2 linked regions of the Saccharomyces cerevisiae S288C genome follow. Changing the gene in region 2 together with the main gene of any one other region gives a genetic interaction. Each region holds a gene or a part of one and is shown on either strand. Other genes may lie near its edges. The genes, in order: HOS3 and FOL1.

Evidence for each region.
Region 1: of FOL1 (region 2) and HOS3, extra expression of one is lethal in a mutant of the other (dosage lethality), as found in Saccharomyces cerevisiae (one study listed by BioGRID).

Annotation. Positions count from the first base shown.
Region 1 is NC_001148.4:327,571-332,251, reverse strand, and holds HOS3 (histone deacetylase), read right to left. Parts: upstream 2,647-4,681; coding exon 553-2,646; downstream 1-552. Other genes in the region: GTPase-activating protein BEM3, read left to right, coding at 1-152; isopentenyl-diphosphate delta-isomerase IDI1, read left to right, coding at 3,522-4,388; mitochondrial 37S ribosomal protein bS1m MRP51, read right to left, coding at 4,590-4,681. UniProt on the Saccharomyces cerevisiae protein: Responsible for the deacetylation of lysine residues on the N-terminal part of the core histones (H2A, H2B, H3 and H4).
Region 2 is NC_001146.8:162,578-167,788, reverse strand, and holds FOL1 (trifunctional dihydropteroate synthetase/dihydrohydroxymethylpterin pyrophosphokinase/dihydroneopterin aldolase FOL1), read right to left. Parts: upstream 3,167-5,211; coding exon 692-3,166; downstream 1-691. Other genes in the region: mRNA-binding translational activator GIS2, read left to right, coding at 1-460; SIP3 (Sip3p), read left to right, coding at 3,469-5,211.

The sequences.
Region 1 (4,681 bases), on a different chromosome or scaffold from region 2:
GAAATTTATGCATCGTGTTTTCCCCAACTCTAAATATTCCAATTAGTATGCTTCAACCATTCATCACTGACTTTGCGTGTATATTTCAGGGTGGTGAACCAGTTAAAGAAGAGGAAAGGGAGAAAGTAGATATACATATTCCTCAGGTTTGATGGTCTAAAATTGTAGAAATATAACGTTGCCAGTAAACCTCCATTGATTTAATGATAGAAAGAGGGCGAGATGTATAGAGGCTTCTTTCTTTCAACGATATATTTGTAATAATAAAAAAATGTCAGGCTGATAAAGCTTATAGAGTGACTGTCTTTTTATTCCTCAAATGTTATTTACAATACCATATAATAAAATTAGTATATTGTCAAATAAAATAAGAGAAAAAAACTAACTTCTTGACCAAATGGTCGAAGAGCTGAGATAAAGAAGGAAAAAAATTAAAATTACTAACTATACAAGGAAATATAAAAATAGAAAAATTGTGTTACTAAATACAAAAAAGTAATATATGCGTCACTTCTTTAGTGGGTTCAAGACAACATTATATATGCATTGGTATCACCATCTTCCACCACTTCTTGTTGTATGTTTTCTTGAAACATGAGAAATCATTGATATATCACTATCGTCATAAGTTGGTGTATTTGCGTTTTGAGGCTGTCTTATGCGATGCGGTTTCGTATTGGAGGGAATTTTATACATTCCATTACCTTGTAGACGGCGTTGGTGCGAGTTTTTCCAATTTTTTTCTTTTAGCTCATGGTCTGAATCTTCATCACCTTTTTTTTCAATTTCTAAGGTCTCCAAATGTCTAGAAATATCATCAATGGTAATATCCTCCACCGTGCGATTGAAAGTTTTGTTCAATTCTTCATCGTAAACGTATTCTTCATCTTCATCCTCACTGGAAAATTCTTGTTGCAAAAACGGAATTTGGGTTTCAGCTGCTCTATTATTTGACGAGAGCTGCTTGACCTTGGTATCGCTTCTAATTTCCCTTTGTTCCTGTTTTTCCGTGCTTCTCGGCTTGTTTTCATGAAGTTCTTTTTCTGGGGAAGCGTTGCTTCTATGAGATCTGATTATTCTTTGAGCAATTGTCGACGTGGATGCTGGTTCGACAGTAGCCTTTAGTAGAGAATTAGAAGGTGCGCTGTTAACTGCGTCTTTAAAAATGATATCATCGAATTCCGGTATCATTGCTCGTCCCAGCCTGATAACTTCTTCTGCCCATATTCTTATGACATCTTTTGCTCTTTTTGTCTTATAGGGTTTCCAAGCCGGTTTGCAACCACGAACAATCTCTTTAACGACTTGTTCAGACCCCCATTCTTTAACCCAATCTTGGTTTTGTAAACCGATCAAATGTGCGAAAACACCAGAACATATAGCTTTATCAGAATATCCACCCTCCATTAGAGACAAAACTTTGCCATGACAGTGCATTTGTGCTAATTTCAATGCATCTTTGGTGAACGTTGTATAAAAACTTGTAGGAACGTTGACACTATGCCTTTGCATTGAAGTTTGCTCAAATTCTGATGCATCGAAACCTGCGCTTATGACAACCAAACCTTTGAATGGTCTCCCTTGTTGATTCATTTCTAGTTTTGCGCTCCTGAAAAATTCATCTGCTTTAGCAAATAAAGTTCTATATTTTGTCCTGTATAATACATTGAATTCTTCTTCGGTTGTCCATTTGGATAAGTGAATATTCCAGATGTTTAGGTCATGAGAGTTCATGATACAGGTAGATGCATTTTTAATGTTCTCCTTTGTGGCAAATCCCGACTCTGTTGGAAATGAATTTATATCATGCATAGAAAAATAACCGACTTTGGGAAATTCGGCAAATTTCTTACCAAAATCATCATAAGATGAATCTTCAGGTTCCTCCTCAGGTTTGAAACCCGCACGTTTCCAGCAAATGTCTTGGGTCCCATCACCGTGGTGTAGATCGAAATCAAGCACGACAACATGCGTGACGTTGTAAGTATCATACGCATATTCTATGGCTACATGTGCATTGTTTAACAGACAAAAGCCGGATGGTGTACCATAGTGGCAATGATGACCAGGAGGCCGTATAGCAACAAAAGCTCTGTTACTAATATGTTCTGCAGATGGTCCTTTGAAAATTGAGTCAACACCAGTTTCAATGGCCCCAATTGTTCCCTGTAGAGCTTTAATTGTCTTTGAGCTCAAGTATATATCACCTGAGTTCCAAGTATCTGGGACTTCGATTTCGCCTTTTAGCAATTTAGCATCTGCCATTTGGCAAAGTTCAATTAACTCAGCCGGCCAGCTACTGCCATGAACTTTAAGCACATGAGGTGCCATCAATGAACCTTTCCTTTGATGCGAGGATTTCAAGGTGAAAAGGGATGGATACATTGTAATCGCAGCTGATATACCCATCGAGCTTGCTAATAATCTTTCTGGTCGTTCGACTATAGTTTTCCTATACGATTTTGTTACCCATTCTCTCGGGAACACATGCTGTAAAGAATATGGGGATAGTACTACAACAGCTTTTGCAGATTCCGGTATTTGTGCGGCAGCTCGAGCTGCCGATATGACATTAGGGTTATTTTGAACAAATGCTTGAAATTGCTTATAAAATCTCTCCAATGGATCTGAATGCTTGGAAGACATATTATATCGTCGAATTTCTCTGTTTACTTCCAGAGCCCTTTTTTTCGTTATATTTTCAGTGACTTAAGAAGTATTGGAGAAACTGAACTGATCAACTCCACACGAAAAGAAAGTTTGTAATTTGGAAAAGGACTAGTTTTTCAAAAGAGAAGATCTGATAATAGATCAAGCGATAAAAAAATTAACAAGATCTTATTGTTCAATTCAGAAAAAAACGTAAACAAAAAATAGTTCTTCATGTTTAAAGGAAAGAGTAAAATAGTATTATCCCTTGATTAGTTGTTTACAATTCTTGAAACTTTCCCAAACTGTTGTTTACATTTCTCTAAAACAAAAATAAAAACATGAGCAGGGTAACACTCAAGGGTCCTAAAAAAATTAGGTTTTATTACAGAAATTGTATAGGACATTTTTAATATTACGAGGGTAAATAAATAACAGTCACAGAATAGTATAGGTTATTAAGGGCTTCATGCGGCTATTTTGCCTATATTAATTTCTTTTTTTTTTCTTTTTTCTTTTTTTCCGCTGCTATCGGTAAAAGTTTCCGTTCTTGCTGGAACGAAATGGACAAAACTTAATTGTGATTGAAATTTTTCCAGTCAACAGTTTCGCAATGACGATGCCCAGCCGATTCTTTTCCCTTTAATTGTTATTAAGAAACATGATTATTCATAACTCTTTTCTTGTCGATGGGGGTTGCCTTTCTTTTTCGGTCTTAACTCCATTTATATTTATTTATTCATTTTTATCTATTTAACAGGAAACAGTTTTCTAGTGACAAGAAGGCGTATATCCCACTTAATTCAATATTAGAGTATTCGTATTTGGAATACAGGAAGAGTAAAAATAAGCCAAAAATTCATTACACCTCAATGACTGCCGACAACAATAGTATGCCCCATGGTGCAGTATCTAGTTACGCCAAATTAGTGCAAAACCAAACACCTGAAGACATTTTGGAAGAGTTTCCTGAAATTATTCCATTACAACAAAGACCTAATACCCGATCTAGTGAGACGTCAAATGACGAAAGCGGAGAAACATGTTTTTCTGGTCATGATGAGGAGCAAATTAAGTTAATGAATGAAAATTGTATTGTTTTGGATTGGGACGATAATGCTATTGGTGCCGGTACCAAGAAAGTTTGTCATTTAATGGAAAATATTGAAAAGGGTTTACTACATCGTGCATTCTCCGTCTTTATTTTCAATGAACAAGGTGAATTACTTTTACAACAAAGAGCCACTGAAAAAATAACTTTCCCTGATCTTTGGACTAACACATGCTGCTCTCATCCACTATGTATTGATGACGAATTAGGTTTGAAGGGTAAGCTAGACGATAAGATTAAGGGCGCTATTACTGCGGCGGTGAGAAAACTAGATCATGAATTAGGTATTCCAGAAGATGAAACTAAGACAAGGGGTAAGTTTCACTTTTTAAACAGAATCCATTACATGGCACCAAGCAATGAACCATGGGGTGAACATGAAATTGATTACATCCTATTTTATAAGATCAACGCTAAAGAAAACTTGACTGTCAACCCAAACGTCAATGAAGTTAGAGACTTCAAATGGGTTTCACCAAATGATTTGAAAACTATGTTTGCTGACCCAAGTTACAAGTTTACGCCTTGGTTTAAGATTATTTGCGAGAATTACTTATTCAACTGGTGGGAGCAATTAGATGACCTTTCTGAAGTGGAAAATGACAGGCAAATTCATAGAATGCTATAACAACGCGTCAATAATATAGGCTACATAAAAATCATAATAACTTTGTTATCATAGCAAAATGTGATATAAAACGTTTCATTTCACCTGAAAAATAGTAAAAATAGGCGACAAAAATCCTTAGTAATATGTAAACTTTATTTTCTTTATTTATTTACAGAACTCTGAATATACATTGATTGTTCACATTTTTTTTTTCTCTTCTCAATTTCCCTTGATTATATTCAAAAGGTTATTGGCCTCTTGAATGTTTCCCACTGATGGTCGACGTGCCCTTCTAGAGGTCAATGGTTTAT
Region 2 (5,211 bases):
GTCTCAAAAAGCTTGTTACGTTTGCGGTAAGATTGGCCATTTGGCAGAAGACTGTGATTCTGAAAGACTATGTTACAACTGTAACAAACCCGGTCACGTTCAAACGGATTGTACCATGCCAAGAACAGTTGAATTCAAGCAATGTTACAATTGTGGTGAAACCGGTCACGTTAGAAGTGAATGTACTGTGCAACGTTGTTTCAACTGTAACCAAACCGGCCACATCTCCAGAGAATGCCCTGAACCAAAGAAGACCAGCAGATTCTCCAAAGTTTCATGTTATAAATGTGGTGGTCCAAACCATATGGCTAAGGACTGTATGAAAGAGGACGGAATTAGTGGATTGAAATGTTACACTTGTGGTCAAGCTGGCCACATGTCCAGGGACTGTCAAAATGACAGGCTTTGTTACAACTGTAACGAAACTGGCCATATTTCCAAGGATTGTCCAAAGGCTTAGGTGAAACATCCACTGAAAAAAACAAAGGAACAATCACTTATCATGCTATATTTCATAGAGGGGAAAAAAGAAGCACAAGTAAACTGAATATTTAAGTTTATTTTCTATATCTTTTCTATACTTCATTTCACTTGTTTCCTCCCTTGGTTATTTTTAACGATTCTTTATTATGAAACAGGAAAAAAAATTATTACAAAACAGAATTACATATTTAATCTATATAACTAACCTTTATTCCAAACCTTTATAAATAGCATCTGCTAATTTAATGCTCTTCGAACAATTTTTAACGTCATGGACCCTAACCATGTCGCTGCCGAAACCAATACACGACGCTACCACCGCTCCAGTAGCAAAGTCTCTTTGCTTCGCATCCACATCTTTTGTGATATGTCCAATGAATTTTTTGCGCGATGGACCCAATAAAACGGGCATATTTCTGAGGTTAACATACACTTGCGAATTGTTTGAGTTCATGGTGAATGAGTAGTTCTTTAAAATGGGGATATGTCTAATAATTTGTAAGTTTTGCTTCCAGGTCTTAGCAAAACCAAGTCCAGGGTCGATTAGAATTTGCCAGCGCTTTACTCCATTATCAATCGCTTTGATATACCTTTCGCCAATTTCTTGACCAACATTCCTGATTAACACTGTTTTGTCTTTCAAGTCGTCTAGCTGCTGAATGTCGGTATTATGAACAAATTCTTGCTGAATAGAATCACCCAATGCAAAATTTTCGTAATGCGCCAGCCTATTCATCGTTGAAATATCACCACGTGTGTGTGATAAAATATAACAAATTTCTGGGTTCTCTGCAATTACGGCAAACATGTTGCTGTCAAATAAACCTCCCGAAATATCATTAATAATATCCACTCCAACTTTAATCGCTTCTTTAGCGACATTGGAACGATAAGTATCAATGGATAGTATGACTTTATCTTGCGGTAACTCAGTGCTTTCTCTAATGGCCTTAATTAATGGGATAGACCTGCGTATTTCTTCTTCCTCAGACGCCTGAATAGAGTTAGGCCTGGTAGAACACCCTCCAACGTCGATGATGACGCTCTCATGCAAATATAATGCGTCTTTACACAATTTAATGATATCATTCAATTGACTTTCAATGTCCGCAAAATGCTCACCTCCATCGGAAAATGAATCTGGTGTAGCGTTGAAGATAGCCATGATATATGTAGGTGAAACAGTAATTCTGTTTGTTTCTCCAGTAAATTCGTCAAGTTTTGTAGCGGTCTTGAATTTCAAAAATCTAGGCTCCACACCACTACGATAAGGCAATGGAACTAATTTCCATAAGGTATCTTCATCATGCTGTTTGTCGTATAACTGTTTTAAATGGTCTACAATGGGTTCCGCTGTCACAGGATGAAGGTGAACGGGGGATATTAATTCACATAACGGCTCAAGAACGAAAGTCCTCTCCAGCATTCTAGGATGCGGTATATTCAAATCCGGTTCATTTACTATAATATCTTCTCCGGCGCTATTCAAAAACATAACAATATCCAGATCTATTGTTCTCGGACCATTATCAAAATGCTTGACTCTTTGCAACTCTTCATATTCAATTTTTTTACACAATTTTAATAATTCGCTTGGGGTCAGTAATGTCTCCACCTCAACACACCCATTCATGAAAGGGGTTTGATCTTTGAAATACATTGGTTCACTTTCAAAAATAGACGAAATATTCCGTAATTTAACCGTTTTTTCCCTTGATAATAATTGCAACGCCATTTGAATGTGTTTGAAACGGTCCCCAATGTTTGAACCAAACGCTAAAAACGCTCTTTTCCATGTATTTTTACCCTCAATAGGAGTGTTTTGTGATGAAGACAATTGGAACTTAATATCAGACGATTCATGTATGGAGGAAAGATATGGAATATTTACCATCGCAATCTCCCTGGGCTCTCTAATACAGCTTACACCAACACCTTCTGTGGCTGTGATTGCGTTTAATTTCAAAACCTTCACCACCAAAGGCGAATCTGGAAACTTTTGAAAATACTCGTTATGGGCAATAACAGCTGACACAGATTCTACAAGAGCTTCCACAGTCTTGAAATTTGATTCCTCCACAAACTTGACAACGTTATCAATTATGCTTTGCACTGGCGGTGGCAATTCGGCTTTCTTTGGCCAAGGCAACTTTATATCCAAAGTTACATACTGTTTCTTAAGTCTCTCAAAGGTGAAAACACCAATCAAAGTCAACATTTTTAACTCAGATATCCTAACAACGTCAAATTCCTGTGATTCTGGATTCCCTCTTTCTTGTTGAATAATACAAGATATGTGGTCACTTCTAATATGCGTTGTATCCGCCTGCACTTCTAAATTCAGACACTCGACACCAGAATATTTGTCCATAACAAATTGAGACACAGATTTAGCCAAATTAGAAACAGAACCCCAATTCTTTTTTTTGCTGACGAAATTCGTCAAATCACGAGAAATAACTGCATAATTTAGAGAATATTTCAAATCATCCGTAGCCGCAGATTTACTAAAATCTGTACCCATATCTAAGCTTAGTAGACATTTCTGAGGCATTAATTGATTCCAGGAATCAGGCCCAAGAACTGTATTCATCTCTAGTTTCTTAATGTGCACATAATCTCTCATGCCGCCTAGTGGTACACTATGTCTTGCAGAATTGACAGTAGAAAATAGCTTTGACATAGCCAAAGGCAAAGATTGAAACTTGTTAATCAAAGAAGACGCTATCACTTTTACTAATTTTGCATTTACTAAAGGAAAAAACCTTGTTCTTCTGTTTTCGATGACCTTGCAATTTATCATAAGTTTTTCAAATTTTCCTTTTATTATGAATTTGCGCAACGACACCAGCGCTATTGCTAATGCGTTCAAAACAGGGAAAGTACACGTGAAATTTTAAACTACTAGGTGTAACTAAAACATAGCTGCATGAGTAGACCTGTTGATCAATTGACATATTGCAGAGATATATCATTACTTGAAATATGTCCGTTCACGGGAGGGATCCCAAAAAGAGGCAGTTAAGGCTAATATCGGTTGCATTCAAAGAAGCATCAATTGACTCTCCTTCCTTTCGTGCATCCGTAAATTTCTTCCAAACAAGGGTGGATGCATTAGAGGATTGGATAGAGAAGACTGTCGACTTTTTCGATCAGAAATATAAGGTGTCATTTGAAGATTTTCGAAGAGCAAAGGAAACTCTCCTATCCCAATTGTTACCTCCTCCAGCCTTGCTGAGCAACGGTTTTGTCAGTAACCAATCGTTTACTCCCAGGCTGATTGATAGTTTTAACAAGGACTATTATGACTTTTCTATGAAATTACTGCAAATTGTAAAGGGTGATGACTCTAGCCACTCAACCGCGCTATTAGAACTTATGACTACTGCAATTGAACCCTACAGAAACGTGAGAAAAAATTTCGATTTTTACCAAGGTAAATATGACAGTATGCTGGCATCCTACCAGGCTATAAGAATTTCAAAAACCAGTTTAGAGCCATCTTCTATCAAAAGTGATGCCTTACAATTATTTGAAGTGCAAAAAAACTACCTTAAGGCCTCCCTAGACCTCATAAGTGCCATATCAGCAGTAAAATTAAGCTTAGATAAATTCATACTAGAGTCAATGAAAGTATTAAAGTCAAGAAGCATTTTTATAACGAAAGATTCTGGAAGGAAAATAGATTTATCTCCTTGCATTAATGAGTATTTAGACAATTACGCAATATGGGTAGAAAATTCCATCGAAGGATCGAAAGTATTGGATTCTGATATCAGTAATGCAAAAAAGCAAGCATATAGGTATACCTTGAAACGAATTACGCCGTCAAGTGACACAAGTGATTACAATATAAGATCAATACATTCCTCGAAGCTGCTATCAAAGGATACGCAAGTGCCTCCAAAATCGCCCGAAAAGTCTGGGTGGCTTTATATGAAAACACAGGTTGGAAAGCCTACCAGGGAAATATGGGTGAGAAGATGGTGCTTTCTGAAAAATGCAGTTTTTGGTATGTTCCTTTTGTCGCCATCGAAGACCTACGTGGAGGAAACTGATAAGTTTGGTGTCTTCCTTACTAATGTGCGCTATGACCCAGAGGAAGATCGAAAATTTTGTTTTGAAGTAAAAATATTTGGTAATAAAGTAACAGAGGCACATGATAACATGTCAAAGGATATCACGTTGGTCTTTCAAACTTCAAATTATCTAGATTTGAAATCATGGTTAATAGCTTTTGAAGCGACAAAAAAGTATGTCATGAGTATACAACATGATAGTCTTGAATATGAGCTGGCGTTTAAAAGATTTTCTCCCAAGTTTTTTGAATTTGCCTCTAGTACAACCACCTCCATAGATCAATTAATCACAACATTTGACAAAGAAACCGAGTCCTTGTATGAAACGCTGAACTGCTCAATCTCTGAATATGATATTTTGACTTTAGGAGAGGAGAAGGTGTTTCAGTTCCAAATGCCAACAACACCAATATCTACAAAAATGACACAACTGGCTATTCTGTCTAATTTCCTCACAAAAGGTAGCTGGTTCCCTAATGCTGTTCTTGCGAATATATGGGGCACGACCGATTGGAGTGAATATACTATATTGCCAGGAAAGGGAAAGAAACCCTCCTCTTTATTAACGATCGATGGCAAAAGGCTTCCAATAAGAAACTCCACTATATATCCTCAATATTATTCTAATGAGTTGAAAGTGCTTGATCTA